4 linked regions of the Ovis aries genome follow. The protein of the gene in region 3 purifies or fractionates together with the protein of the main gene of each other region. This does not show direct contact. Links are inferred from orthologs where the notes say so. Each region holds a gene or a part of one and is shown on either strand. Other genes may lie near its edges.

Evidence for each region.
Region 1: the proteins of AKAP9 (region 3) and CDK5RAP2 purify together in Homo sapiens (affinity purification with western blotting; 4 studies listed by BioGRID and IntAct, with this or other methods). This does not show direct contact. The link is inferred for Ovis aries from reciprocal best matches to the Homo sapiens genes AKAP9 and CDK5RAP2.
Region 2: the proteins of AKAP9 (region 3) and CSNK1D purify together in Homo sapiens (affinity purification with mass spectrometry; 4 studies listed by BioGRID and IntAct, counting the BioPlex papers as one, with this or other methods). This does not show direct contact. The link is inferred for Ovis aries from reciprocal best matches to the Homo sapiens genes AKAP9 and CSNK1D.
Region 4: the proteins of AKAP9 (region 3) and PRKACA purify together in Homo sapiens (affinity purification with mass spectrometry; 7 studies listed by BioGRID and IntAct, with this or other methods). This does not show direct contact. The link is inferred for Ovis aries from reciprocal best matches to the Homo sapiens genes AKAP9 and PRKACA.

The regions. Positions count from the first base shown.
Region 1 is NC_056055.1:3,073,697-3,081,174, forward strand, and holds part of CDK5RAP2 (CDK5 regulatory subunit-associated protein 2), read left to right. Parts: intron 1-3,096; coding exon 3,097-3,658; intron 3,659-5,634; coding exon 5,635-5,867; intron 5,868-7,478. UniProt on the Homo sapiens protein: Potential regulator of CDK5 activity via its interaction with CDK5R1. Negative regulator of centriole disengagement (licensing) which maintains centriole engagement and cohesion. Involved in regulation of mitotic spindle orientation.
Region 2 is NC_056064.1:50,123,728-50,131,205, reverse strand, and holds part of CSNK1D (casein kinase I), read right to left. Parts: intron 6,622-7,478; coding exon 6,473-6,621; intron 6,203-6,472; coding exon 5,974-6,202; intron 5,644-5,973; coding exon 5,473-5,643; intron 5,010-5,472; coding exon 4,861-5,009; intron 2,951-4,860; coding exon 2,779-2,950; intron 2,218-2,778; coding exon 2,078-2,217; intron 1-2,077. UniProt on the Homo sapiens protein: Essential serine/threonine-protein kinase that regulates diverse cellular growth and survival processes including Wnt signaling, DNA repair and circadian rhythms. It can phosphorylate a large number of proteins.
Region 3 is NC_056057.1:10,029,416-10,037,429, forward strand, and holds the start of AKAP9 (A-kinase anchor protein 9), read left to right. Parts: upstream 1-3,342; 5' UTR 3,343-3,574; coding exon 3,575-3,622; intron 3,623-8,014. UniProt on the Homo sapiens protein: Scaffolding protein that assembles several protein kinases and phosphatases on the centrosome and Golgi apparatus. Required to maintain the integrity of the Golgi apparatus. Required for microtubule nucleation at the cis-side of the Golgi apparatus.
Region 4 is NC_056058.1:9,911,827-9,919,813, forward strand, and holds the start of PRKACA (cAMP-dependent protein kinase catalytic subunit alpha), read left to right. Parts: upstream 1-3,183; 5' UTR 3,184-3,193; coding exon 3,194-3,239; exon of another isoform or gene 3,240-7,123; coding exon of another isoform or gene 7,124-7,145; intron 7,146-7,987.

The sequences.
Region 1 (7,478 bases), on a different chromosome or scaffold from region 3:
CCACTCTCCCGGGTAATCAAGTGCCCCTTAGCTGCATTGTAGGGAGGTCCAGAACTTCAGTGTTTCCTGTAACGTAAATCAGTGGCCCTGGGGACTGCTACTGTACAGCAAAGAGATTGAATTATGCACAGAAACACCCTTTTCTACATTCTTTTCCATGGTGGTTTATCACAGAATTGTGGATACAGCTCCCAGGGCTGTACCCAGGACCTTGTGTTTATCCATTCTGAATGTAGCAGTTTGTATCCGCCAGGCCGGAACTCCCCGTCCAGCCTTCCCCCTGCCCCTCCTCCCTGTTCTCTGTCTGTGAGTCTGTCCTGCTTCACAGACAGGCTCGTTTGTGCTGTATTTTAGAGTCCACTTAGGAGTGACGTCACAGGGTGTGTGTCTGTCTCTCTCTGACTCACTTAGTGTGATCATCTCTAGCTGTGTCCAAGTTGCCGCAAGTGGCAGCATCTTGTCCTTTTTACAGCTGAGTAGTATTCCATTCCGTATACGCACCCCATCTTTATCCATCTGCCCATAGACATGTAGGTTTTTTCCGTGCTTTGGCTACCGTGAATACTGCTATGCAGTGATTTTTAAGTGAAAAAAGAAAAAACAAAACTCCTGCTTTGGAACCTTATGACGGGCTCCAGAGCAGACTGCAGAGCCGCGTGGCCGTGCTGGCGCTGAGCTGTGAGACTCGCTGTGTACTGGCCCAGGTGCCCGGGAGTCAGCCCTTGCCTCTGCGAAGGCACAAATTGCTGTAGCTGAGGAACATTTCTGAAGTCAAAATTTTGAGAGTCAAGTGTCTAAAGGAGCTGTAAGGTTGTGCAAGTGGGAGTGTGAGGAGGACAGCTCCTAGCTGTGATGGGAGTGTGTGTGTGCGTGTGCGTGTCTAGACAGCAGAGGTGGCCACAGTCTGTATCACAGAAGGACACTTGTACGGGGCTTCCATTTGTCTTTGCCTCATGATTACTTATGGAAAGTCATCAGAACTGATCTTTATTTCCATGAGTGAACATCACTTCTGCCATGAAATTCCATTATCAGGAGGTTGTTAGAACAGAGCTATTTCCTTGCCTTGGAGTGTGACTCATAGGAAAAAAGTCTTGTTGAGCTTTCTCCCTCTGTCTCTCTCATACACGTTCAGCCAGCAGGACTCCCTGAGTCCCTTCTCTGTCCCAGGCCCCAGGCCAGACCCTGGAGAAGCAGAGATGAATGACATGGTCCCCACCCTGAAGGCCCTCAGAGCTAGTGATTATAACACATCTTGTGCAGTAGAAATGCTCTGTTAGGAATGCTTTCCTGAGGTCACGTAGCAGTGGCTTTCTAAAATTCAGAAGTTTATTTTATGGTATTTGCATCGTGAGCAAGGACAAGAATGGGCTTACAGCCACGAGGAGCAGCTGCAGAACCCAGAAGCTGGATGAGACAGCCTGACAAGGACATGCGTACGCCTTTCCTTCTGCGTGGTCTCCTTGGTCATCTCAACCAGCGTACCCTGCTGCCTTGCCCACGTTTCCCCAAGTCCACAAGCCTCTGCTCACGTGTCTCTCCTGGAATAGGCGTCCTCTCCCGTCTTTGAACACCTTCAGGAAAGCAAAGCATAATCATATTGGTTGGTCTCCCTCACTGCTATGTGCCAGACATTGTTAGCCTTTTTGCGGATTCTGTCCCATTGGATACTAAAGACAAAAGCAGAATACAGGGTGCTCTCTCCCTTTTGCGGATGAAGCTTCTGAGGCTCAGAGAGGCTAAGGCACTTGCCTAAGGTCACACAGCCATTAAGTGATTAGAGCCTTCGTGTGAAACCAGATCCGTTGGCTTTCAGAGACAGTTGTTTCTCCTATGTTCTGCTGCCTTTTACGTAGGCAGACAGGTGCTTGTACTCAGCTGAGCTTTCCCTTGGACGGCAGGCAGTGTGGCGTGTGGTTAAGGACGGATGCTCTAGACTCAGGCCTGAGCTTGAAGCCTTACAACAACAAACGAGATACTGCTTGGGGAAACCAGAGCTCTGGGCAGTGAGCTCTCACCTGAGTCTGTGCAGCCAGCAAGCGGCCCCACTGGGTGTGAGCCCCCTCTGCTTTGTCTTCAAAGCTGTGTGTTCTTCCTGCAGCACCACCCTGCCTCTCACAGGAGTTTGGCTGCAAACGTGGGGATTTAAACTAGCTGTAAGGAGATGTTTCCTGGCAGGATTATGAGTCAGCCAAATACCTCCTCGCTGTAGGGGACATCACGGCATCTCCCAGAAGCTGGTAGACATGGAGACGAGGTGACTTCTCATCTGCCGAGGATTTCAGAATTGCTCGTCTTTGATGTTACTTCACTCTTTGTCCAGCGTTTGTCCGCCCTTCATTCACGTCTGGTCTGGGCTGGGTGCTGTACGAGGCGCTGAGCATGTGAAGATGAAAGGCCAGTTCCTGCTGGGAAGGAACATGCAGCCCAGTAAGGGAGAGGAACCCAGTAACTAACTGCCGTGTAAATAAATGAATGAGCCAGATGTCCGTCCTGTGCCGGCACCCGGCACCCGGCACGTGATCATGTCTGTTTTGGGTGTTACGTGTCAGGTACCATGGAAGCGCAGTGGGGAGTGACTGTTTGCATAGTTTGAACATCGGTTCACAGAGAAGGACAATCAGATTTGGGTGCTGAAGGATGAGTAGGAGCTCGTTGAGCGGGAGTAAAGTAGGTGGCCAAGGGGGAACAGTGCATGCGGAAGCCGGGAGGCATGAGCAGCCTGCTGTATGCAGGGAATGATGGTTGCTTTAGTAGGGAGCCTGCGTAGGGGGTGGCTGAACGTGTCCCTGCAAAGGTTGCCTGGAACTTGATCATGGAGGGTCTCAGATACTGTGAGAAGTTTGGACTTAATCCTCAAGATGGTAGGGGGCTGGGTGAGGTATAGGTGGGGTGGTTGGTTATCAGGGTGTAATTCACTTTTTAGCACAGTAGCTCTGAGGAGGAGGCTGGATTGAGAAGGAAGAGGGAAGGACTCGAGCCAGAGGGGCTTGGCAGGAGGCTCCCATGGTCTCTGCTCGGTGGGGGCTGTGAGCCAGGGCAGAGGGCTAGATTTCAGCAGTGGAGAGACTGACATAAACGTGGTTTGATTTCCAGGCTCTGAAGTTTACCAGCCAGATGACCCTGCCATCTTGCCACCAGGCGACGAGGACCCCTCTGAAGACTTCCCAGCTACACACTTGAGTTCCAACAGTCAGTTTTCCACTAAAATCAGTGTGGTTGGGACTGACCCGCTGGAGAGCACTGATACCTCCAACGATAAAGAAAACTTAGAACGGAAAATCTGTGACCTGGAAACGGAGCTCGAGGGCTACCGGAGCTTCATCCTGCAGCTGCAGAGGCACTCCCGGTTCAGCGAGGCCGTCATCACGGTCTTGTGTGGGACGGAAGGGGCCCAGGACGGCTTGAGCAAGTCCAAGGGCAGTGCCGACGAGGAAGAAATGACCTTCTCGAGTTTGCGCCAGGTCCGTTTTGTGAAGCACATGAAGATCCTCCACCCGCTGGGGCCAAAGATGATGGACGGCGGGCGGCCGGAGAGCCTCGGACAGCAGCTGGTGGGCCAGGAGTGTGAGCTGCAGCAGGAGCAGAATTTGAACGTGGAGCTTTTCGGTGGAATCCATAACCTGCAGAATAAGATCAGAGACCTCTCGTCCTCCAGGTACGTCCCACCTCTGCCTTTCCCCACGTTGCCACTAGGTGGGCGCCCCTGACCTGGGAAGGGGTGCTGCCCTGCAGGGACCTTGGGCATGTGCCAGGGAAGTCTTTCAAGGCCCGGCTGAGGCAGTTCCTCCTTGGAAAAGACGCTGATGCTGGGAGGGATTGAAGGCAAAAGGAGAAGAGAGCAGCAGAGAACAAGATGGTTAGATCACATCACCAACTCAATGGACCTGAATTTGAGCAAACTCTAGGAGATACTGGAGGACAGGGGAGCCTGGTGTGCTGCAGTCCATGGGGTCTCAAGAGTCGGACATGACCTAGCCACTGCACAACAACAGTAACAGTAGGGCAGCTACGCCTTCGGGGAGGTGGCGTGGGAGGCCACGGAACCTGGCGGTGTCCACACTCGGCCTGTGCCTTCGGGAATTGGCCGAGCAGGTCTTGTCCTCCTCAGGTCGGGGGGTGCAGGGTGAAGGTTTTAGACCGGCCACTTGGTGAGTCATAGTATGGTTGCTAAATGGCAGTGTTTGCTCCTGACCCTGTTAAGGGCTCTTACTGTCCTGCAGGGGAGGGGGTGGGGGACACGGAAACTGCTGTCCTAGGCAGGGTGGGGAGAAAATAATAGTGTCTGTATCTCTACCCTTTAAGGCCATCTCAGAGAAATAAGCCTGTGTTGAAAGAGAAGAATTCTTGGGTCGTGAAGACATGTTTTATGGGCTTGGAGACACACAGTTTTGCTTCATGAGATCTGACAAGCATGGGGTCATTTGTAAAGCTGACCTTCACTCGTCACTAATTTGAGACAGACACGTTGTTCAGAATTGTCAGGAGCCAAAGTGCGTTTTTCAGGGCTTCCCATGCAGTGTGATTGAAGGCAGCTGGTGTTTATTGAAGGGCAGCCTTGTCAGACCCCACGTTACGCATTGTTCTAACTGAACCCCCACAGCCACCTGAGAAGAGGTGTTCTCAGACCCTGTGTTTGTAGACGAGGAAATGGAGCCTCAGAGAGGCTGCCGTGCCCGAGAAGGCGGCCCGGGAGGGTTCGTGGAGCCCAGGGTTTGTCTCATTCGTTAAACTGGCCCCATTTGCGGTGTTGTGGTCACGTGACCTCTCTGCTCACGTGGGCTCGAAGGTGGTCACTGCTCATCATTTCAAGGGATGTAGTGAAGCGAGGGGTCGGGGTTTCTGCCCAGCCACTCTGGGGCCACCTTCCTGCAGCTGCAGTCGGTAAGGAAGACGGAGCCCCGCTTCCCTCCACTTGCGCTTTTCTCAGCGTCGGCGGATCCTCGCGGGCTCACACGGGCAGACGGGCTACCCGAGGCCGTGACGCCTGGTTCAGTTAGGCTTTGAAGGCGGAGCCCTATCAAGTCACAAACCTTCACCATTTAACCGACTTTGCCACCTCTAAGAGGCAGTTTTCTCTCCTGTAAAGGGAGATATTCGTGCATTTGTTACGTGCGAGGAATAGGCAACTTATGAAACACGCCTACTTCCGGGGCTCACCGGCCTCGGTTCCCCTGTGCGTGGCCGTCAAGGTCAGAGTCGCCTTGTGGCCCTCCCTCCAGAGCTCAGTCCTCGTCTTGTTTTCTCGCCTTCAGTTTCCTTTTTGTTTCTCCTGAGGATTTGTGCTGGCTCCCCTGCCCGTTGGCGCGCTCGTTTCTACAAATTTCGAGTAGTATTTTTAAAGAGTGAGTGGAAACTAATCGTCCTCCTGAGTCCTTGCCAGTCTGCACTTTAAGTGGGGGCTTCATAAAGGTTAAAAGTGTTGCGGAAGAACCTCTGTTCCAGGCTTTGTTGGCTGTTTTGAAATCGAAAGAGTCGGGACCTTGCGTAGTTGCAGTTGTTCCAAAAGTATAGGTACTTGTACAGCTGCAGGCTTTTCAAAATCCTGCTTTGTCAGTTTTCCGATTAGCATTAAGGTCACAGAAATCCAGTTCTAAAATGGGTGCCAGCGTTTCCTTTTCCCTCCTGTATCAGGTACGATTCGTTAGTTCAGGCCCAAGCCAGGGAACTCTCCCTCCAACGACAGCAGATAAAGGACAGCCACAGCATCTGCGTCGTCTACCGCCAGCACGTGAACACCATGATCAAGGCGTTTGAGGAGCTGCTGCAGGCCAGCGACGTGGACCAGTGCGTGGCCGAGGGCTTCCAGGAGCAGCTGCACCAGTGCGCGGCGCTGCTGGAGCAGCTGGAGACGCTGTTTCTCAAGGGTGAGTGAGTCCTAAGATGGATCAGGCACTGGTCCAGGACTTCTCGGAGGGGCCCAGGGGGAACCGGCTCCTTGGCCTCCCCTTCCGCCCCCTGCCCTGACGAGGTGATGGCAGAGCCCTACTAGCTGCTTCCTTCCAGTGCCCACTGCCCCGTGGTTGGCAGTCTGCCCTGTTCCAGACCCGGGGTCCGGTGGAGGGGCCTCGGGCCAGGCTGGGAAGGCATGGCCACGTGGTTGCCAGAATTTTCAAGAGGGGATAGAAGCCCAGGTTTGGCAGGTGAAGACTCGCGGATGGTAAGTGCTGGGGGCAGCAAACAAACGAAGCAAACAAGAAAACCCAAACTTTCATTGGTTAAAACCGATTTAAGCGTCAGAGGCGGTCTGAGGAGAATGGAAGAAAGCCTTTGCCAAACATTTGCTATGTGCTAGGTACTTTAATGGATGTTCTTACATTACAGTTCAAAAATAATAACTTGCATTTCTTTGAGGCTACAGCAGACATCTTCCACATAGTTCAGTTCAGTCGCTCCGTCGTGTCCGACTCTTTGTGACCCCATGAACTGCAGCACTCCAGGCCTCCCTGTCCATCGCCAACTGCCAGAGTCCACCCAAACCCATGTCTATTGAGTCAGTGATGCCATCCAACCATCTCATCCTCTTTCGTCCCCTTCTCCTTCCACCCTCTATCTTTTCCAGCATCAGGGTCTTTTCAGATGAGTCAGCTCTTTGCATCAGGTGGCCGAAGCATTGGAGTTTCAGCTTCAGCATCATTCCTTTCAAAGAATATTCAGGACTGATCTCCTTTAGGATGGACTGGTTGGATCTCCTTGCAGTCCAAAGGACTCTCAGGAGTCTTCTCCAACACCACAGTTCAAAAGCATCAATTCTTCGGCGTTCAGCTTTGTTTATAGTCCAACTCTCACATCCATACATGACCACTGGAAAAGCCGTAGCCTTGACTAGATGGACCTTTGTTGGCAAAGTAACATCTCTGCTTTTTAATATGTTGTCTAGGTTGATCATAACTTTTCTTCCAAGGAGTAGTGTCTTTTTATTTCAAGGCTGCAGTCACCATCTGCAGTGATTTTGGAGCCCCCAAAATAAAGCCATTTCCACTGTTTCCCATCCACTTGCCATGAAGTTTCGCCATGCGTAGCCTATCATTCTCCCTCTCTCTCCAGGCAGATACGTGCATACACGTAAACACACACGGACACCTTGCTGACAGTCCCAAGAGGAGAGTGGATGCGGTTGGCCCCTCCTCCTTGGGGAACTCCCCTCCAGGGAGAACACCGTTCTGAGCCAGTTCTCCCGCCCAGCCCCAGGTGCCCCTCCGGATTCCTGCCTTCGGCGCATGTTCCAGATCAGCCGGTCCTGCCATCTTGCTGCCGCCACGGCTCCCGCTGGCTGCCTGCTGCTCTTTGGGGCGGGCGCGGCCCCCTCTTCCCTGGCCTCTGTGCGTCCACCCTGGGCCCGAAGGGGTCCGTTTCTGCTGTGGTCAGAGAGGTCATCACAAAGTGAGTCAGGTCGTGACTGCTCTCTGCCCCAAATCAGAGGCTTTCCTCTGTGAGTCATAAGGGTCAAGTTAAATCACGGATGCGAGGCCTTGGAC
Region 2 (7,478 bases), on a different chromosome or scaffold from region 3:
TGGCCCTATTCCTGCTTGCATCTTTTGGTGGGGGTTGGGGGTGGGGTGTGTGAATGGAGGCCACAGTCATAAAAGCTGGAGCAACTCTGATCACACCCTTGGTGGTCAGCAGTCTTTCAGAGTCTCTTAAGGAAGAGCACCTGGGGGATGATCAGGAAAACCTGAAGGAGAGAGCTGTCCAGCTGCCCTCAACATGAAGATCATAAGGAAACTCCCAGGGTAACTAGGGTGCTTCTTTTGGAAGGGACACACACAAATTGAATCTCTTCAGAGACTGGCTCCCCCCACCCCACTGTTCAGGCCCTCCTCTTCGTATGGAAAGCAGAGAGAACCAGGGGGCAAAGACATGCAATTGTGATGGAAAGATTTTACAGGAAAGGTCTTGAAGCTGTGTGTTGTCAACGTTCAGGGGTCATGGGCTGAATGAAGATGGACACAAGGTGGCAAAGAGGCTAGATTAAAACCCATAACTGCCTGGCACTCTCAGGACTCAGCCTCTTCCACTTCCCTCAATGATCCGCAAAGCAAAACACGTTTTCTTGTGTTAAAAAAGAAGTTAGCCTGCCCCTTCCTTGTTCTTGCTGGCTGAGGTGTTCTGGAGCCCTCTACCAGGCCCGCCTGGCCAGGCATGGTGAACACCTCCAGGGACCTGCTTCCAACTGCTAGCTCATGCATTCCAGGGCTTGTGGGAAGAAACCTGTTAAGCCCCTTCTGTGCCCTGTGGTGACAGAGGACGATTGTGGGGCTGGGAGTCCTCAGAGGTCCAATCTCATTACTGACCCACTGAGCCGCATAATTTGAACTACCTGCATCTTCAGTCTCTTACAGAAAGTTACCATGTAAGAAAAACCCATTTCTAGTAGACTTGCTAGTAAATTACTAGTAAATTTGGCAGAAACATTAATTTCACTTGATTAAAGTGTGCCTGGGCACACCTTGTTCCTCTGCCACAAGATCAGCTGGATGCCACAGGACTGAGGTTCTGGGAGTTCTCACAAAATGCTCGATCCACCAAATTCACCAACGTTCTACGCCCACTGCCCAGAAAGCACCGAGGAGGGCAGGACGCAAAGCGTAAACGTGAGGCATCGCGGTGAAGCACAGGGCCGCTGCCCCAGCACACGGCCGGGACCTGGGCTTCGGACATTCCTCAACCCGCCACCTGCCCATCGAGAAGACACCAGGGGGTAGTCCCAGTTCCCACGGGACACTGGCTGAAGCAGGAGAAATGGTTCACTTGGGTTGTTCCTGACCCCTGTCTGCCCCTACTGCCCTGACTGCAGGAGACCCTGACGCGACTTGAGGAAAAACGTTCGCATGTGGGCAAAGAGCTGCTCTGCTGAGGGAGGCACGGTAGCAAGCACAGAAGGACAGCGAGGAAAGCCACAGTGGGAAGAGGACACGGGGGGAGGGGGGGCCCTGGGACCAGGCCCTGCACCTCTGAGCACACTTGCCGCGCCAGACAGAAGAGACATCAGAAGGGGCACCAGAAGACAGAAGCCCTCGCCCCGAAGCACACTGCCAAGCGCTGGGCTCTAGAAGGCCTCTGCCCACAGCATTGCAGTGACGGCCGGCAACACACCATCCCTGCCACCCCTGCCCTGGCACTCTGCTGGGGGAACAGCTGGTCAACAAGATCGAGGACAGAGTCTTCAAGGCTGGATGTGCCCACAACAAATGGTGTGAGCAGGCTGGAAGCACCAGCCTGCACAGGGAAGATGGCCAAGGCTCCAAGGCTGCCCGGGGGCTGGGAGTCATGTGGAGGGCAGCAGGAGAGAGAGGGCCCTGTGGCACGTCCCAGCACAGCCTGAGGGGAGGGGTGTAGAGCCCTTACCTCACACAGCTCATCAAGGAGGCTCTCAACCAAGGGGCCAAGCTGCATTGAGGGGTACAACGTTACCCCATCAGTTAAAACACCAGAATATGGGAAGAAAGGGAAGGAAGGAAAGAAGGAATGCCTTTGAAACTATGACCTCACTCTGCTTGGAGCCCATAAGACCAGACCAAACGTGGAAAAGTCAGAGGCCCACAGCACCCGACCTGGGCGAGCTCAGGTGCTGGCCCACGGGGTGCGTACCTGTGAGGTGGACATGCGGGAGGTGTCTTGCCGGCCCGTGAGGTCAGATGAGGAGATGTTGACCGGGGCACCGCGGTGCAGCCGCATACTCACTTTCCGCTCTCTTTCCATGCCGGACACGGGCCTAGGAGAGGTGTTCGCTGGAGGAGAGGGAGACAGGGGCAAGCGTGAGGCCTCAGAATGCAGCCCCACACTCCAGCACAGGGTCTCTCCTTGAAAACCACGTCTAACAAGGACCCTCAGCTGCCTCAGTTTCAGGCACAGGACAGCTTACTGCACCCTAAGATTAGGCCGGCATCACAGGTTGATCCCTGGGAGTAAAGCACCAGGAGTCTAGTGGGAGGGTGGCTGGGGCCTCTGCCTACAAGGCCTGTCTTGACAGGCAAGGAAGAGGCTAAATGTTGTGTCATGAGAACAAGAGGCAAAGCAACAGAGCTCACAGGGAACATAATCCTTCAACAGGCCAACTTCTGAGAAATAGATATTATGGAAGGCACTATCCCAGGTGGTTCCCTGGCGTGTCTAATTTCGGAAGTAAGAAATGAACAGAACGAGGACGCACACGCTTCACCCACAAGGCACACTGCCCAGACCCCATGAGGTCACACACTGGAGTGTCCGGAGCAAGCGACACACAAAATAGAACCCCTATTGCCTGCAGCGCGGGGACCAGGGTGAGCTGCAGCCCTGGGACCACTCACCAGTGTGTGAGGTAGGGGTGAGGGGGGTGGGAGGAGCCACCTCCTGTGTCCCCCTCAGCCGGCCCGAGGCCGTGGAAGGGAGGCCGCGGGTGGCTGGATTTCGGGAGTGTCTCAATCGCTCCTCTCGGTCCCGGCGTTCCCGCTCAGCATCGTCAGCTGCCCGGCTGGCTCCCTATGGAGGAAAGAGGGCGACACCAGAACTGAACTGGGTTTGGTGAAAAACCACCTGAGGCCCTTGGCCACCACTCGAAAAAACACGGGGGCATGTGTAACAGGCCCCCCCGAAGTCTGCAACCTCTGACAAGTCAGGCATTCCTCCCTCCAGGGGCGCGCCTGACCCGTCCCACGACCGAGGGCGAGCGGAACCAGGCTTGTCTCCTTTCCCAGCAGAGGAAACCTCTACCCACTCGCCTTATCACTCCTCAGAACCCAACCACCAACAGCATCTGGCAGCCCTCATCTCTGCGATTATTCATGTGGGGATGGGAACCAGCGAAGGTCAGAGGCGGCCCAACGTGGCAACAGCTGGGGGAAGGTACCCATGCGACAGGCAGAAAGAAAGCACTGCATTTGGTCAGCTGAAGAGTCTAACCAGAGCCCAGACGCCTGGCTCGAGTCATCCTGCTAGTGTGCATGAGACGAGAATAGCCGCCAGGCTCGTCCCAGGTGGCGAGGCAGTGGGCACCACTTCAGCTAAACTAGCTGCTCCCAGAACAGCTAGTCAACACTTTCAGGGAGAAGCACAGGGACCCTGGATTTTAAGTGGTGACGCCAGGGTACCTGTCCTAGTAAAGGTTATGTCCTAATCACCAGCACCGTAAGGCAAGAATCTGCAAACTGCAGCCCATGGGCCAAATGCAGCCACACTCATTTGTGCAAATAGTTTTCTTGGCACAGTCATGCCTGCTCACTGACGCACTGCTTTGGCGGCTGTCCAGTTATACACAACACAGAGTCGAGCGGTCACAATGCCATACAGATGGCAGAGATAAAACCATTTATTGTCTGGCCCTTTATAGAAGAGGTTTGCCGAATCCCTGTAAAGGGTGACGATGTAAGAACAAAGAATTTGTTACAGTGGCTCTGGCAGGAAGTGCACCCTGATGTGCAGACTCCAAGGAACCTGCAGCACTGCCCCCGAAGGTTGTCCTTCGAAGGCCATCCTAATAAAGAGGTCTGGCAGGATGGCACGGGCCAGGTCCAGGGCACGCTGGCTCTGTGGGCTGGCACCAGCTTGAGGAGGCTGTGGTTCTCTGCCCTGATCTGGTCCGTGTGAGCACCCATGCACCCGTGAGGCCACGGGATAAGGCTTCCTGTTTTGCACTCTGAGGAGGAGGTTCTGTTCCTCCATCAGATTTTGTCACCCTAGAAACATGCCAATTTTTGTTTTAAGCTCACAGAACACATTTTTAATGAAAGAGGAAGTGCAAATTAAAACAAAAAACTGGGATTCTGGCTGTAGTGTCAAAGATTAAACAAACGCCTACAACAGACTCAGAGACAGGTGGCCTGTTTTAGAGGAAACAAACTGAAGTCCAAGCTCCCACTCTATCCCACCCCGAGCCCCGACAGTGCACGTGCACACAAACACGGGCTCATAATAATGAACAAACTGGGTGACGAAGGAAACCAAACGGTAGGTCTAGCTCCTCACAAGGCCACACGGAGACCTAAGACACGGTACCTCCCAGGCCACCCAACCCCTGGGAGGCTGGGCCTCAGCACAGCCAGGTGAGGGGAGGAGGGGAATGTCTTCACCCCGCCCGGTGGGAGTCACATCCCCTTGACAAGGAATTCACAGACCAGCGCAGTCACAACATCCTGAGGACCGCAGAGTTCAAATGAGAGCCCTGGTCTGGGCAGACCTGCACTGTGGACTCCATCGTGGCCCTGAGGTGCCTCCTTGGCTTGCCCGCTGGCATTTTGCTTCTCAGAACCCCTTGTGCTCCCCATGTGGCAGCCATGCCTCCTGAAGCCCCACCGCCTATAGCTCCCAGAAAGGGATGGCAGCAGCTGGCAGCCTTTTGCTGACAGGCAAGCCCCTTCCATGCTGAGTGGTCAGTGAGCTGGGGGCACACTTACAAATTTGAGCATGTTCCAGTCGAACACGTAGTCATAGGAGAAACCCTGGCGATGGAACAAGTTCCTGAAGAGCTGTCTCAGGTATGAGTAGTCAGGCTTATCGTCAAAACGCAAGGAACGGCAGAAATTTAGGTACGTGGCGAATTCAGCTGTAAACACCAGAAGATTCAGAGGTAACCAGCAGTATTCCTGCCTGAGAGCCAGAATGGTGTCTGTCCACAGAACCTCTGACCACTCACGGCCACAGAGAGAGGCTGCGAATGCTGGAGCCTGAAACATCAGGCATGCTTTGGGGAAAGAGGATGAGAAAACTGAGCACCACAGAGCATAACAGCTTCATCGGAGACACTTATCCCAGGAGAAGTCTCACAAAAACAAAAGGAAAACTCCCTGAGTTATGGCTCAGGAAGGCAGAGGAGCACCAGGGACAGAGGCTGTGGCCACTCGGAGGGGAGGCCACCTGCCCAGTCTTCAGCTCCCTAACTATGCAGGGCGCTGAGGGGGCTTTGGACAGCCAGCCTCTGGGGGGCTTCCCTAGTCCTTCTTCCAGACCTCACAGGCCCCTGCCCTCCCACAGAACTACAACTGGCTGACTGTCCACCAGACACTCACAAGGGTAGCCTTTGCACAACACCTCGATGGGAGTGGACATCTTCTTTTCACTGATCCTCTCATACTTCTGCCTCTTGGTAGCAGCCTTCAGGCCCTGCCAGGGCAGTGAGCCCAGGTTGAAGTACATGAGCACGTAGCCCAGAGACTCCAGGTCATCCCTTCGAGATTGTTCTGGATAGAGAGGAGAGCAGGTCAGGGTGGTGTGCCTGAGCATGCACAGCAACACCCCACAGATGCTGCCTGGGGATAAACTCAGAGCCTCAGAGAAGGACACGTGGAGTCTTTGCTTCTGCAGAAGCAACCCTGCTGTGCCGTTAGGAGATGCACTGCCACCCATTAGGAAGCCCCAGCACATGCTGTCCCTCACGCCTCACAAGGTCTGCAGGCCCAGATGCCAGCCTTTGCTACGAAGGTTTGGTGCCAGCCTCCATACCCAATGTGCCACAACCAACCCTCAGGGGCCCCAAGAGGCTGCAGGACAGCCAGGGCGGGAGGGCTCACCGATGCCAAGGTGTGTGTTGATGGAGGCGTACCGCGCCGTCCCAGTGAGGTTCTTGTTCTCACGGTAGGGGATGTGCTGGTGGGTGCGGGCGTCCCGGTACTTCTTAGCCAGCCCGAAGTCAATGATATAGACCAGGTTGCCCTTCTTACCCAGCCCCATGAGGAAGTTGTCCGGCTTCACATCTCGGTGAATGAAGTTCTTCGAGTGTATGTATTCAATACGACTAATCTGCAGGTGGAGAAGCAGGGGTGACAGGTTGAACCCCAGGCTGCAGCCTGGCAGAAGGAACCAAGGGGAACCCTGGCCCACTTGCAAACATGCCCTGGCCTCCATGGGTCACTATCTCTTGCACAGTTAACAAGCTTCTGTTTTCTCCGTATGCACGCATGGCACAAAAAGGAAGCAAACAACCCTGAAGGCCTCATCAGACTGATCAATCAATCCAGCCCTGTGCTGAGCACGTGGGCTGCCCTTCAGTGGAGAAAAATGAAGTCTTACCATTTGGTCAGCAAGGAGTAGGACGGTTTTGAGACTGAACTTCCTAGAGCAAAAGTTGAAGAGGTCTTCCAGGCTGGGTCCCAACAGTTCCATCACCATGACGTTGTAGTCCCCCTCAGCCCCGCACCACCGGATGGTGGGGATGCCCACTGCAAGAAAGTCTGCGTCAGTCCGCCTCCCGTGCATCTGCACTGAGGATGCCCGTGCCTGTGATGCTGATGGGGGGCGGCTGGGCAGGAGCAGTGAGCAGTGACGTGGGGAGAGGCTGGAAGGCCAATTTCACAGTGGGGGTGGAGTGAGGGGCTCAGGAGGAAGAGCCTCACTGGCTCCCACAACCGGGTCCCAGTCTCCCTACGACTGACATCCTGCACCAGTATGGTAAAGCTGTCACAGCTAATGACCCAATGCCGATACACTGTCATTAACTGAAGTGTATACTACTCAGGCTTCCTCAGGTTTAACCTCATGCCCTCCGGCCGCTCTAGGACCTGTCCCAACCTCACATGACGAGTAGTCGTCATGTCTCCTTCAGCTGCTCTTGGCCAGGAGGGTCTCTCAGACTTTCCTGGTCTGAACGACCCCAATGGTTTGGAGGAGGGCTGGGCAGTGATGCACGGGCTGTCCCTCTGCTGGCCTGCCTGTTTTTCTCGTTGTTAGTCTGGGCTTGTGGGTTTGGGGAGGAAGACCACAGAGGGGAAGTGCCCTTCTCATCACGTCCCGCCAGGGCTGTGCTGTCGACATGACTCCTCACCATGGCTGTACCCCTGGTCACCTGGCTGAGGTGCGTCTGTCATATGTCTCCACTGGGGAGTTCCTCTTTCCTCCCCTGCCCATGCCATCCTCCCTGCGGAGATGTCATCACACGTGGCCCTCACTTATGAGGGCTTTTGGGCTCCCTTCCCAGAGGGCAGAGCATTTATATGTACGACTTGGAATGCTTCCACACAGATGTGTCTCTTCTCATCTACTTACTTGCTATTTTTTCCCATCAGTATGAGCCCACGAG
Region 3 (8,014 bases):
ATTTTCAAATTGATATTTCTTGCATGAACCTCTCTTCAACTCCTGACTCAGATAACCAGAGCTATACTTGACATTACTCCTCAAATACCTAATATATGCCTCTAATTTATCAAGTTCAAAACTGAACTCGTGGTCTCCTCCAAGTTTACTCTTCCCCAGTTCAGTTATTGGCAACTCCATCATTTCAGTTGCTCAGGACAAAAACATTAGAGTCAACTTTGACTCCTCTTTTTATCTCAACTTTCATATGCAATCTGCAACTCCTGTGGCACTCTTAGTTCCCTGTTTAAGATATACCCAGAGTCTAATTCACTACCACTACCATTGTCCAAACTCCTAGTTATCTGTTGTCTAGATTATTGCAATAGCATCCAAAATGATCCATAGTCCAGTCTGCTCTTAGCCAGATGTCCTTTAATAACATAATCCAGAACATTTCACCTATCTGCTCAAAATTCTCCAATGGCTCCCAGGCTCACTTAGTGTAAAAGCCAGTCCTTAAGGACCTTCAGAACTCTACAGGATCTGGCCTCCTGTTACTTCTCTGATCTCATCTCCTACTGTTTCCCTCCTTGCTCACTCTACTCTAGCCACCCTTGCCTCCCGCTCTTATCAAGACAGTCATGATCTAGCTTCAGGATCTTTAGACTTGCAATATCCTCACCTATCTCCACGGCTCACTCTCTCATTTCTTGCAATTCTTTGCTCAGGTATCTTGTCAGGATATGATGTGAATGAATGATAGGACTTGAATAGTTGCCAGAAGGAGGTGTTTGAGCACTAGCGCCACATATTTGCCCTTCTAACAGAAGTCAACATGCAACTTTCAACCTTTACTGAGCACCCATTATATATTAATATAAGACGAACATGTATGATTGGCTGGTCTTAGTAACAGGAAACACTGAAATGATCTTATTCCTTTAAAAGATTCTTGAACATTTTCAGCGCATACTGGAACAAATATTTCTTGAATGTTTTCAGCACATAGTGGAACAAACAAGTGAATTCCTTAGTTATTGAAAAGCAGCATCTATTAACAAGCAGGAACAGACATCTTGTCAGATATTATAGGGCTTCCTCCTCCTAGACAATCAGAACCGACAAACACAATCCCTCTGTCCAGGCAGTATTTAAATCACTGCACTATTAGAACACTTAGTTCCAGACCTAGTTTTACTCTCAGCTTGGCGGGTGACAATAAATTATCTCTTTTATTATTTGAATTATTTATTTCCATGATAAAATGCTTAATCTCATCCACTTCTCAATTCAGGTTAGGAAAACAGGACAATATATACTTGGGTGTTACAAGCTGCCACAATTACATATGCATTACAGGGTCTGAGAACAAAAAGTCTTTGTCTTAAATCTAAGAATGTCTGCTGCTGCGGCTAAGTCGCTTCAGTCGTGTCCGACTCTGTGCGACCCCATAGACGGCAGCCCTCCAGGCTTCCCCGTCCCAGGGATTCTCCAGGCAAGAACACTGGAGTGGGTTGCCATTTCCTTCTCCAATGCATGAAAGTGAAAAGTGAAAGTGAAGTCGCTCAGTTGTGTCTGACTCTTGGCAACCCCATGGACTGCAGCCTACCAGGCTCCTCCGCCCATGGGGTTTTCCAGGCAAGAGTACTGGAGTGGGGTGCCATTGCCTTCTAAGAATGTCTAAATCGGGACTATTCAAAACTGGTCTTCCGTTTGTGGTAGATTTAAGATCTTTGCTTTTCTTCTTTTTCCTTTTTTTAACCCAAATTTCACTCAACACCACTTGTATGATTTAACGCATAGCTTATTCCAGTTCACACATACTAGTTTTTCAGTCCAGCCTAACCCAAAACAAAGGAGAAACATGATCAACTAGAGAAATTAAAAAGTGTAGTTAGTTCATCCCAGGAATAGATTTGAAGGTAAGATGATGGGGAAGAAAAAGGAAGTAATGAGGGAAGATATGAAAATAAAGGAAGGAGAGTCATGCTAAAATTATTAAAATGGCTCAATTCAATCCAACAAGTGTTTATTGAGTGCAAAGCATTTCCCTGGTCTTTTTAGTAATGCCAAGGTGAGCAAGACAATCTTTGCCATTAAGGAGTTGGGAGTAGGAGGTGAAGTAAGAAGGGCAGCTGCTGCTGCCGCCGCCAAGTCGCTTCAGTCGTGTCCGACTCTGTGCGACCCCATAGACGGCTGCCCACCAGGCTCCCTCGTCCCTGGGCTTCTCCAGGGAAGAACACTGGAGTGGGTTGCCATTTCCTTCAATGCGTGCATGCATGCTAAGTCGCTACAGTCGTGTCCGACTCTGTGGGACCCTGTGGACAGCAGCCCACCAAGCTCCTCTATCCACAGGATTCTCTAGGCAAGAATACTGGTGTGGGCTGCCATTTCCTTCTCCAATTAAGAAGGGCACAAGTTGTTATTAAAACACAGAGTACATAAAGGAAATACAGGGAGAAGAGAACTGACATTAAGGATATTTTGATATGCCAGGGGGAGTCACATACGTTAACTCACATATGTTAACAAGCCTTCCAAAACTTCCAGGTAAGCTAGAGGAGGATAGGTAACTTGTTCAAGGTCATTTAAGTGAAAAAGTCTACACTGGCTTTGTCTTCAACCCAGGTTGCAAAGCCTAGAGCCTTTCAGGGCACCATAGCTAAGGGGAAGCTCGTGGGAGGAGATTGAGTTAAGACAGGAGGAAACAAAGAGATCAGAAAAGCTATTCAGGGCGGCGAGTGAGGTGGGCCTCGAAGATGAACAGGCGATTGGGCAGCCTCATGTGAGGAAAAAGGGAGGCACTTTCGGCTCAGGAAGGAGTGAAGGCTACTGGCCGCCCTGCCAGTCCTCCGGGTTGACCAGTCAATCTAGGCTGAAAAATTGTCATCCGGTGGCTCACTTCTCCAACCCAATCCCTTCTTCGCCCCCGTCTTTTCCTTTGGGGCTTTTCAGCGTTCACCAGTTTCAGCGTTAGGCACCTGTACTTTCTCCTTTGCTCTGAAACTGGAAAAATCTCAAATGTTCTAAAAAGGACCACTGAGTCCCTTGGACGACGGTGGGGGTCCGACCGGCGCTCCTGACACAGCGCCCTCTCTCCCACCTCCTCAGCCAGGCCTCCACCCGCGGAGCGGCATGCGCCCCGGGGAAAGCGTGCTCCCCCGAGAGCCGGGTTTCCGCCAGTGGGCGCGGCGGGCGGGAGGCCGGGAGGGGGTCGCCGCGGTGGCCGCGGGGCCGGCGGGGCCGCGACGGGCGGGGCGGGGCCGCGGCGGGGCGGGGCGGGGCCGCCGGCGCACCTGCCCGGCGCGGCGGGATTCGCGGCGGCTGCGCAGACGACGTGCTCCCCCCTCCCGTTCCGCCGTGTGTTTACGTGGAGACGAAGATGGCGGCGGTGGTGACGACGCGGCCCGTGCGGCTGAGGACGGTCAGCCAGTGAGCGCGCAGCCTGGTTCCGCTCCGGGAGGGGCGAGCGCCCGGCCCGGCCCTGCGCCCTGCGCCGCGGAGCTTGCGGTCCCACCCCCGTTGGAACCGACCTTGCCTTCCCGTCCCCGACCCCCTGCCTGTGTTCCCCCCAGCCTTCCCCGCAGAAGCTATGGAGGACGAAGAGAGACAGAAGAAGCTGGAGGCTGGCAAAGCCAAGGTGAGAGAGCCGGAGGCCGCCCGGCCTGCGCTGGGAGGCGGTGGCCGGGGAGGGCTGGCAGGGGTCCTGCGAGGCGGAGGCCTCAGCTTGGCAGCCCCGGCGCGCTGCCTGGGACGGAGGTGCGGCGGCGTCTGCCGTCGCCTTGCCCTCGTCTCCCTTTTCTAATTGAAAAAGCCTGGTGAGACACTACCTAGCGGTTATTTCCGTGATGACTGGGTGGTGTGGCTCCTTTCTCGTGAATGCCCACATAAAACCTCTCCTTTTTACTGTATAAGCTGTTACAGCTTGCTTCTGAATCTCCAACCTTTGACTTGTTTTGAGGGAGTTTTCTGGGTTGTGCAGACATTGTGCTTTTCAGGGTGGGGATTTGGGGCTCTTCTTTATTCGGGTGGGGATTTGTACGCTCATCATCGGCTTGGCTTTCTTAGGTGGCACGCTGGCACTCTTGAGTGTGTGATTGGCCTGTGACAGCTGCCTCAGTCGTGGCTTGAGTGTGCCACAAGTGCCAGCTGTGAACTTCGCTGTAGGGGCGTTTTTAGAAGCATGGCTTTGTATGTTTGTGTTCGGAGGTCTTTGTCACGGCATGCGCCCTGTATTGTGTGGAATGTTACCGCAGTCTGTGAATGGAACTTACGGGGACGAAAGGGTCCATATTCCTAGCATCACCTATAGAATTCTTGCTTTCTTGTCGAGTCCCTATCTTGTATGTGTGTATGAAAAAGACTGTAAAGGAAACAATGGAAAAGGTTTTATTATTCACTGGGTTTCATGAACAATTTGACATAGACGAAATATAAATTAAATATAAATAGAATATTAATAATATTAAATATTAATACTATTAAAAGAAATAGAATTTAAAATTACTTGCTTGAGCATATTTTTTTGACTGGCCAAAAGGACCCCTTCCTCCCTATGATGAAATTACAGTTTACTGTATATTGTTTTATTAGAGATGATTGTTCACAGTCATACTTGCATCTCAATTAAATTATAAATAGTTTAACTGTTTCTTTTCCTCTCTGTCTCCTCCCTCCAAATAAGCAAAAGGAGACTGGGTCTGATTTCAGTAATCACTGAAGAACCACACTGCAGAGATACAATTGTAGATGCTGAACATAAGTTTCTTGACTTAATATAAATGTATAAACTATCTCTGTATTATCTAAGGTCAAACCTTAAGTGTTTGTATCAGGTAGATTGTTATTAGGATCTATACACAGGGAAAGGAAATCAAGGCATCTTTAAGATCTCACGTTGCTTACATTTCTGCAGTCTTGAGGATCTGAGCACAATCTATGAATCGAAGAAAGTGGAGGAAAAGTGTGTACCTCCTTCCAAAAGCATTGACGTTGTAGTTAGACGTTTTGTTTGTTTGCTTGTTACCTCAGTATTTTTACTATCTGCCTCCTGAAGTATCTCTCCTAAATATATATGAAGCCGTCCAAAAAACATAGTTTACTTTGGACAACACCTCTCATAACAGAGGACTTATTTAAATTGCTTTGGTTTGGCGAAAAAGAATTCTAGTTTCTTTGTGTGTATGTGTGTTTTTTGTCTTTCAAAATTCTGCCTATGGTATAAAAATCTTATCCTTTTAACATTCACTTTCATTGTGGAAGATTATCTTCTAGAATTGAGCTGAATTTTTCTAGTCAGAAAAGAATTCAAGACATGTAAGGCAAGATGTGTTTGCTGGAGCATTGGCACCAAAATATAAAAACACTGGGCAACCTCCAAAGACAGTGTTAGGAGAATCACTTTCTAAACTATATTATTTAAGCATGATAGAATATTTTTCAGCCATTAAGGTTACGAGGGCTGATAGGAACATGAACAGTAAGAACATGGACATAGTTCGAAAATAGTGTATACATTACTTCTTTTGTATAAATGTATGCTTTTATATTAGGACTTAAAAACTTTGGGTTGTGAGTGTAGGGTCGTTACGCAAACCTGTGTCAAACTCCTGTTTTACACCAAGCGCTGTAAATACAGAGATGGTGACAGTCTGTTTTCTGAAGTTGCTCAAAGTTTAGCAGGACAGATACTGGGTACTAAGTACAGTGAGGGAGGTGGTATTATAGAATTTGTGGCGAATTGTGTCATTTGTTAAAATGTGTTAAATGTTGCTGCCTCATTTTTAAGACTATTTTACAAAGAAGGTTCTTGATAATTGATATTTAATGCAGTCTAGCCTGACACCTATCAGATAGTAAGTATGCAGTAAATATTTGCTTAGTGAATGAATGAGCAGAGTGACCGTGAGCTGTTAATATGTGCTGCTTGACTAGCATATTGTAATTTAATAACAGTAATTCAGAATTCTTGTCATTGGAAGTCTCATTGCTGGCATTAGAGATCACTGAAAACAACCATTTCTAAAACTTTATTCAGATACTTGGTTCTCTGAATGTCTTGTTTGTTCATTGAATTTAAATACTGTATTTGCTAATCTAGTTTTACAGACCACAACTTGGAAATTTTCTTCTTGGTGTTTGGTAAACTATTCATTGAAAAACTTACTTCCTTTCTGTATCTATAAATGATCATTTTTAAAATGACCTGTTGTGAATTCAGTATAGTATACTTTATAAAATGTGTTACACCAACCAAAATTCACAATGTTAGAAGAATAAATTTGGTATGTGCGCTGTGCTTAGTTGCTCAGTCATGTCTGACTCTTCGCAACCTCACGGACTGTAGCCCACCAGGCTCCTCTGTCCATGGGATTCTCCAGGCAATAATACTGGAGTGGGTTGTCATGCCCTTCTCCAGGTGATCTTCCTGACCCAGGGATCAAAGCCAGGTCTCCCACATTGCAGGTGGATTCTTTACCGTTTGAGCCACCAGGGAAGCCCAAATTGCCATATATGTAGCCATCAAAATAATTCTGCAGAAACATTCTGATTTGGGAAAATGCCCACAAATAACACCAGATTGATAACAATGTTACCAAAAAAGATATATATACAATTTTTATATATGAAGACACCTGAAAAAAAATACACCAAGATATAAATGATGGGTATCTCTGGGTGGTAGGTTATAGGCAGTTTTAATTTCCTTTACACTCCTAGTATTTTCCAGATTCTCTGCAGTATATTTCCTTTATGACCAGTAAAAATGTTTACATGCCATTTTTGAAAACAGTAAAAGCTTATCAATTATAGTATGTTGAAGAGAATGTTAATATTGTTTGATCGTTATACAGAACAGGAAGATGAGCCCTAGGGTAACTAGGCTTCCCAAGGGCCCTGGCATCAGTGTAGTTCTGGAACTACAGTTCTTACTCCAGTGCTGTTTCCATTCTGTAGTTGGGATTCTCTGTTATTAGACATTTATATATCTCCTTTCTGGTTTTGTAGATCTTATGCTTTTTCTCTGTCGATTCTCATTGCCATGAACATGCCTATCTCCATCTAACCTGCCTCCTCCCTTAATTTGCTGTTTTAGATTTCCTGTGAGTAGCTTGAGGGGATGGTTTCGTTTGTAACAACCAAGCACTGATGGAGCCTTGTGAATGCGCTTTATGACTATTTCGTTTCTCTGCTCCTTGTTGGTTTTTTCATTTGCTGTTGGGTCCTCAATTACTTCCTCAGTACTGAGGTAGTAAGACGCATGACCTGTGGAGACATGAGACATTACTGCATTAAGTAAATATTTTCAGAACCAGGCTAACCTCGTTGCAAGGAGCTGACAAGGACAGCGCTACACAGGCCGTCCTTGTGTTGATCCAGACTTCTAACTCCACTTGAAGTGACTTCAGTTTTTTCCAAGTAAAATTATCTACAATTTTTTGGAAAAGAAAGTGTTGTAATATTAGCAAACAGAATTAGAGGACAGTTGTATATTTAGTGTAAAATTACTTCTGCATATTCACAGAATGTATACTTTTTAACATTCTACTAGCAGAATTCTATAAAACCACAAGTTTTTATTAGCTATTCAGCATTTAATATAATTGGCATTGTTGAATAATTATAAAAATTTTTGCCTGTTGCATTCAGTAAGTAATAATTATATGATTGTTTAATGAGGATTTTCCGTTTGAAAAATAGTGCTAGTTCTATACAAAAAGGACAGTGCTCTCTGCAAGTTGTGTATTAGGTTATTGATAATAGGACTCTTCAATTGTTATTTCCACTCTGATAGACGAAGTTAGTCATGGTGTGTAATTGCTCCTTGCATATTTCAGACATTCCCCTCCACCACTAAGAGCGTTGTTCTCCATCCCTGTTTCTTTTATACCTTCTAGTTTTTATTCTTATCTGTGACATAGCTTGCTTAGCTTTCAAAGTAGATACTGCAGTTTGATACCTTCAACATTTACTGTAAGAGTGGTGCATTGTCTGCGATTTAAAAAGCAACTCATGACCTTTAGTATTTGTT
Region 4 (7,987 bases), on a different chromosome or scaffold from region 3:
TCTCTTCTACACACACTATATATTCCACCTGCGGGCCATTGTGCCACCGTCATCCCAGGAGTGCCACTGACCCAAAACTTTTCCCACAGACCTCCCTGGCCTGCCTTGAGGCTTTCTTGGTCAATGCCTGGCAAGGCTCCAACCCTGCTGGGCCAAAGGCTCTGCCATTCATTTCCCTTCCCAACCATCTGAGCAGAGCCACCCAGCTGCCTGGAGTCCCAGGCCAGGAGTCTTGGTAGAAGATAGACTCGGACACAATTTCTGTCCTTTTGCCAGGATGATTTTTTAAGACTTTTCAATTCAGCAGCCCTCTGGAAAACTCTGTTCCCAAAAAGGTGATCAGCAGGATGCTGAGGTAGATGGCTGACTCTCCTTTGGGTCACAGCCACCTTCCTCTTGCCTCCCAACTGGATCTGGCTTTCCCTGGAGGCTGCCCCTTGGAGACGGTGGTGCGTTGGAGGGGCCTGCTGTTCTGTCTCAATATTGGTGTCAGGACTCCTCTGCTTCTGGCTGCCTTGGTCTGCACTCTGCCAAGACCTCATGTTCTCAGGCCACAGTGCAGACCAGGGGAGCAGTAGGGACCCTGAAAGCCCTCCTTCCCCTGCCATGCTCCTCACCCTCACCCCTGTTCCCGCGCTGCTACGTGGATGCTGTTGTGATTGCAGTTTGTGTATTAAAGGGTTTTTATATTAAATGTTTGGTTGATCTGAAAATAAAAAGCACTTCATCTAGATTCTTTCTGCTTTTGTCTCCAGTAGGCTGAGGCGGTTTTGTCTCTCTCTCCTCATGATGGGGGCAGTGGGGGGGGCCCTCTTGCCTCAACCAGTAGGTTGACTGCCCCTTTCTCTCTTACTCGCTTCTTTTTATTGTCTTGTCATAGTTTTATTCCAGACTGAGGTCCAGGAAGATTCTTTTGTCAAAACTTAAGCAACCCAGCTGTTCTGTAGATAGAGCATAACCAGTGATTGTTCAGACTTGTCATGACCTTGACCCACCAGAAGAAATTAGCATTGCTCTCTGAGGACCCACATATCAATACGTGTATTAAATTTTACTTAAACTTACTTTGTAACTCCACATCCCCAGGTGAAGTGGTGAGCCATTTCCCCATAATTCACAGGAAAACCCAGACTTCTCTCCTTGAAACGAAGGTGGACTTAGGAACATGGGTCTAGATGGCTCCTGGGTGGGGTGTACAGGTCATACCAGTCCAGGCTCAGAGCAGCCAGCTGGCTTGTAGAACTGAGACCAGTCAGCCTCCCCAAGCTGAGGGAGGCTAGCTCATCCAGTTCCCTGCCCCTGGCATCACTTCCTGTTTGGGCTTTCCTCTACCTCAGTGGTTTCAACTGGGCAGCAGTTTTGCACCCAGCCAGGGCACATTTAACAATGTCTAGAGATGGTTTTGGTGGCAGGTGGCACTAGTGATAAAAGAACCTGCCTGCCAATGCAGGAGACTTAAGAGATGAGGGTTCAATCTCTCCCTTAGGAAGATCCCCTGGAGAAGGAAATGGCAACACACTCCAATATTCTTGCCTGGAGGATCCCATGGACAGAGGAGCCTGAAGGGCTCCAGTCGATGAGATTGCACAGAGATGGACACGACTGAAGCGGCTCAGCATGGCAGAGATGGTTTTAGCTGTCACAAGTAGCAGAAGAAAAGCAGGCTCTACTGGCATGGTGAGGGGGGTGGGGGGCGGCGGGATACTGCTGAACACTCTACAATGTACAAGGCAGTGCCCCACCCCCAGCCCAGCATAGACTGAGCCAGACCCGAATGTCACAAACGTGGCGGTGGGAAACTGACCGTCCTCACTCTGTCTGTATTTAAAGGCGACCCTGAAGGAAGAGGGGCTTTCCAGGTGGTAAAGGATCTGCCTGCCTTTGGAGGACACACAAAAGACGCAGGTTCAGTCCCTGGGTTGGGAAGATTCCCCTGGCAGAGGAAATGGCAACCCACTCCAGTATTCTTACCTGGATAATCCCATGAACAGAGGCGCCTGATGGGCTACATTCCATGGGGTCACAAAGTCGGACACGACTAATTATGCACGCACGCACGCTGAAGGAAGAGGCATCTTGCTACTCTGTTTCAGGAGATAAGGTTCCTTTTGCACTGCCCAGAGGGAATCCTCAACCTGGCTGTGCCCCAGATTCCTCATCTGTAAAATGGGAATGATGATAATAATACCTACGTGAAAGGAGTGTGGTGCGAAGTAATGTATGTAACAAGTGCCAGCTCTTACTGGCATGAGGCCAGGGTAGGCACCCAGCAAAGAGGTGTCTACTGAGGGCCCCACTCCCAGAGCCCAGCATCCTCCTGAAGCTCCTCCAGCAGGGTCCCATCCTGGACCCAACCCTGCTGCTGCTATCCTGCGCCAGGCCTTATGAATGACGACGGCCGGCAGCCCGACGACCTATGACCCGCGGCGCCTGCCGCGCCCCTCCCCCGCTTGGCAGGTGGACAGCGGCTGCGCCGGGGCTGGGGTTGGGGGGGCCGAGGCGCCAACCTTGGCTGGCCCGCAGCCGCTGCCGCACTGAACGGGGGCGGGGGACTGCGGCGCGCACGGGGCCGGGCGAACGCCTGCCTGGACCGCCTCCTGGGCCTCGGAGCGCTGCGCGGCCGCCGGCCAGCGGCCGCCGGCGCGCCGGGGCAGCAGACTGCGCCTCCGCCCCGCCCTCTCACCCAGGGATTGACACTGAACGTTCTGCCGGGGCTTGCCGGACAGCGCGCCTCCACCAATTGGTATCCTCGCTGGGCGGACCCCGGACCCTGTCGGAAGCCTCCGCCAATCAGACGTGTTAGCCCGCCCGGTTGGGGTCTCGCAAGCGCTCGAGTGGCCAAGCGTCCTAGGAGCGCGTCATGAGGCCGAGAGCCTATGGCAGCGCGGGAGGGTCGCGAAGGGCCAATGAATGGCGGCGCAGCGCCGTCAGTCAGGGCGGCCTAGGCCAATGAGCTGCGGGCTGCGGGGGCGTCACGGACAGCAGCAGCGGACTTGGGCTGAGGTTCCCGGGCGGGCGGGCGCGGAGAGACGCGGGAAGCAGGGGCTGGGCGGGGGTCGCGGCGCCTCAGCCAGCGCAGCCAACCCGAGGGGCCGCCGCCGCCGCCGCCCAGCGTGCTCCGGGGCCGCGGGCCGCCTCCAGCACCCGCCGCGCCGCAGCTCCGGGACCGGCCCCGGCCGCCGCCGCCGCCGCGATGGGCAACGCCGCCGCCGCCAAGAAGGGCAGTGAGCAAGAGAGCGGTGAGTGCCCGGGCCGTGACCCCGATCCCGGCCTCGCGCTGCCAGCCTCCTCCCTGTCCATCACTGCTTGGCCCCTCCCCCCACGCCCCCCCCCATTTCTCTCTGCTTACCCCCAGGCGCCCCTTCCCCCTGCCTGTCCAAGGTTGGGGCCCGGGGCCCGCAGAAGACCTCGTAGGAACCCCGTTGCCAAAAACCGCCCCTCCACTGCAAAGACTGTGCTCCCCCCTCAGCTGTCACTGCCAACCATGGCACGTATGACCGCTGGGCCCCCACATGGGGCCCTATCACCACCCCACTCCGTACTTTCCTGGCCCCTCTCCTTAGGTTCTAATCCCCCCCCACTTCCTCACTCACCTCTTCCACAGATGAGACTCACTGCCAAACCCCGACCCAGGCTTCTGCCAGCCTGGGAGTGCTATGGGGTCTGCCTCCGCCCAACAGGGACCTTGGCCACTTGGTGACCACACCCCTACCCCCTCCAGCCCCCGCCATCTTTCTCCTGCCCTTCCCCTCTTCACCTTATCACAGCCCCTCTTCAAACCCACCCTTGAGCATTTCCCAGAGCCACTTCCAGCATTGTTTTTCCCTTCTGTGTCACTTGGCATGGGGGACAGGCTCTTTCTGGGTCCCTCTGCCCCTCTCTCATCCTGTCACTGTCACTGCTTCTCTGCTTGTGCTTCCTTCTCCAAGCAAGCGTCTGTCCCTGGCCGGGGTCGCACACTGTTTGTGAACCTAGAGAACTGCTTCTGTGCTTGCGAAGCCAGGTTTGAGCCAATCGTGCTGGAACTCCATGCGTCCTCTTCCTTGGCTTTGGGGGTGAGGGGTTTCAGCAGAGAGCCCCTTCCCATCTCCTGCTGTGCAGTGAGCTCTAGGCTCTTTGGAGGGCCCCTCAATAAATGGTTGTGTCACAACTGAGGCTTGATCATTCACCCAGTCCCTCAGGCTTCTTTACCTGCTCCTGGCTTGGGATGAAAAGTAGGGGATTAAGAGTGAGTTTACCAGGGCTCATTCAGCTAGAGCTGGGATGGTGAGAAAGAGGACTCAAGGGATGACAGTTAGGAAGAGTAGTGGGTGACATCTAATGACTCGCTTTGCCAAGAGACAGATTCTGATCATCCCCAGGGTTCACCCAGAGGTGGCCCTGTTTCCACCTTAAGCCCCCAAATCATATAGGCCTTTTCCAGCCAGCCAGGGAAAGAGATTCTGTACCTGGAAATGCCTTCAGAAATGGTCTTGAGCTCCTTCCTCAAGTCATCCAGCTCTCAAATTGTCATCACTCCAGCCCTAAAGTTGGGCCTCAACTAGGATCCTTTTCCAGTTACCCAGAAATAGAGTTGAAAAGGAATGGCCACATCCAAATATGCCTTTCCCAGTTATTTGTCTCAGATCCCAGTGTCTGAGTTCCCTGAATGCTCCCTCCCAGAAAGACCCAAGCATGGAAGCCAGGGAACTTTATTTCCACCCAGATTCAAATAGCAGAACTTATAGCTGCTGAGCAGCCATGGAGAAGCCTGACATGTCACTGATGGGCGGGGGAAAGGGAGGCAAGTGCCTGTAGCTGAGCGCTTGATGACAGAGGAGCAGGTGGGTAGTGACCAAAAATGGTCTGGGCATGAGCTTGGAGGGGATAGACAGAAGGGGAGGGGCTGGGCCCCCAGCAGGTGAGGCCCGCCCAGAGGTAGAAGGTAGAAGCAGGCAGTTGTATATTTCAGTGACTCAGTTGAAAGTTGGGGAGGTGCCATAGTCCTGGAAAACTTTCAAGGCGTATCAAACACATGCAGTGGAGAGAGGTGGGGTGGCAAAGCCACACAGGGAAAAGGATTCCCAAGAAAAAGATCAGAAGCTCCAGAAGGAACCGCTAATTCAGAGTACAGGCTGGACAGCCAGGAAGGGACTATCAGGATAAAATAGAGCCACTATTTACTGGGCAGCTAGGATGTGCCAGGCTAAATGGTCTTCATAGATCTTTCTGCTCAAGTGATTTTTCATAACAGGCTGTTACCTGAATTTTACAAATGAGCTCTCTGAGTTTGACATAGATGATGCCACAGAAGCAGGATTCACATCCATTTCCATCTACCAGCCAAATTCCTGGACCCCAGAATTTCCCAACTCAAAGCTGCCCCCCTGATTTTTCACTATATTCACTTCTATTTTGTTAACGGAAATAAAAATTTTGACTCACTTTTGTTCAGATGTAAGTTTTGATCTGTCCTGAGAAATAATATAAATGAAATCATGGGATTGCTATACCAGTTATATTCTCTCTGGTACACCTTAAGATACAGTGTAACTAGAAAGGCAAAATATCCTTAACATCAGTTCGTCCCCAGCCAGTGGGACCTGGTTACACTTTGGGAAACACCCTAAGCTGTACTTCCTTCCAGAGATTTGCAGGGGCTGTTGGAGAAGGAGACAGGATGAGTAAAGAAGCCCTTTTTTGCTTCAAAGCTCCTATTCTGAGAGGATGGAGTTAGGCAAAATTTGCCCTCTCCCGCAACTAGGATGGGGTGGGGGTAGGGATAGTAGCCAGGCCAGCCTTCAGGGGGCACCTGAATTTCATCTGCCAGACATCAGCCCAACTAGAGTAAGGAAAGTGCCAAACCTTAGTAGGCACCATTTGGCATCCTGGAGCCCCCTGTGCTGCCGTCTCCATGCTCGGGCAGGACAGCCTTGGCCTCCTCTCAAGAGGGCAGGAATTTAGAACCAGCCCGGGGATGGGGTGGGGGAAAGTGTTAGTCACTTATGTCAGACTCTTTGCCGTTCCATCGACTGTAGCCCGCCAGGTTCCTCTGTCCATGGGATTCTCCAGGCAAGAATGTGGGAGTGGGTAGCCATTCCCTTCTCCAGGGGATCTTCCCGACCCAGGGATCGAACCCGGGTCTCCTGCATTGCACGCAGATTCTTTATCATCTGCGCCACTAAGGAAGGGGGAAATCTGTACTCAAAGATGCCAGAGCCACTGGCAGTAGCCTGAGTATGATGCTAAGAGGGCAGAGGAAAAACAAGAGCAAGCCCAGGGCTCTGAACAAGCTAGAGGAATTGAGAGAGGGCAGTGGCCCCAAGAGGCCCTGGGGACGGGTGCCAACTGGGGGTCCAGCCTTGGCTGCCCTGGCCAAAAAGGTACTCCTAAGAGCTGGTCCATGGAAGAAGGTACAGGACTGGTAAGAGGAAGCCCTCCAGACCTCCCCCAACCCCTACCCCAGGTCCCAGAGACCAGAAGATTCATGCTCTGAGAATGAGAATTGCCCCCAAGAGGTCCATGCTGCTGCTGCTAAGTCGCTGCAGTGGTGTCCGACCCTGTGCGACCCCATAGACGGCAGCCCACGAGGCTCCCCCCATCCCTGGGATTCTCCAGGCAAGAACACGGGAGTGGGTTGCCATTTCCTTCTCCAATGTATGAAAGTGAAAAGTGAAAGTGAAGTCGCTCAGTCATATCCGACTCTTAGCAACCCCATGGACTGCGGCCCACTAGGCTCCTCCATCCATGGGATTTTCCAGGCAAGAGTGCTGGAGTGGGGTGCCATTGCCTTCTCCGCAAGAGGTCCATAGATGGGAAGAATTGTGGCCTTCATGACATACTACAGAAGCCTGAGAGGGCCAAACACCGTCTGTGCGTTGGCAGTTGTACAGGTGCCCAAGAGGGTCCTGCCAAGACAGTTTTTCCTTTAAGTCCACCTGGGCTTAAAGAAGCTTGAGGGTTCTCTGCCCCTCCCCTGCACCTACTGGCCCCCAGGTTGGGTTTCTTTTCCTGCCACTACCCCAATACTCCCTGGCTCCCCCTATAGGCAGGGCTCTGGTGATGAGCAGCTAAGCTGGTGCAGCAGGTCTCATGAGCCTTCCCAGCCACCGTAGTCCGGGTGCTTTGAGAGGAAGACTGAGTGATGGCTTCCAACCCCAACGATGGTGAGGCTGAGCCCTGTTGCTATAGCAACTTCCCAGGCACACTCTGACCCTCAAGTCAAGGAGGGATTACAGTAGAGTTTAGGGAGCAAGTGGAGAGGAAAAGGCTGTGGACCCCTGACTGGCCCTGGAAACCCTTCCTAACCACCCTGAGTGGAGATGGGTGGTTTAATTCAGACAAGGGGGTGGGGGGTGGGGTGGATGATCCACCCAGAGTGGGGATCTGACCCAGACCCAGGCAATGGGGTAGACCAGCTCAGTGATGGCATTCAGCTCAGAGTGGGGGGTTGGTCCAGCTCAGTGATGGAGTCCAGGTGGTACTAGGCAGTGGTCCAGTCCACTGTTGAGGTCCAACTCAGACTAGGGGGTGGCTCAGCCTAGGGCTTGGCCTTCCTGTCGCAGACTTTCCAGGAGGAGTCAGTTTCAGGGAACAGGGGATCCTGAGATTTTTTTTGGGGGGGAGGAGGTCTGAGCCTGGGATCCTGCCTCCTGCTGGGGCCCTGGGGGCTGTTTTCCCTGTGAGCCCAAATGGAATCTAGACCAGGGTGGAAGCTGGTACCCCTCCTGTGGGAAACAGGAGCAGGCCAGGCCTACCGTCTCCAAAGACAGCAGCTAGCTGGGTTTCCCTTCTCTGCCACTTCCTGTTGTCAGCAGGGGCCGAGGTTGCCGGGCACTCCCGGGAATAAGTAGCTGCCACTGACCCTGCACTTACTTTTGGGGATCTGGAAAGAAGGAGGAAGATGGTCAAAGCTGCCTCCCCCTCCCCCACCCCTGGGTTTAGCGTTTCGTTTCCGGTTTGGACTTTCAGGGCTGAGAGCAGAGCCAAGCACAGGGCAAGGTTTGAC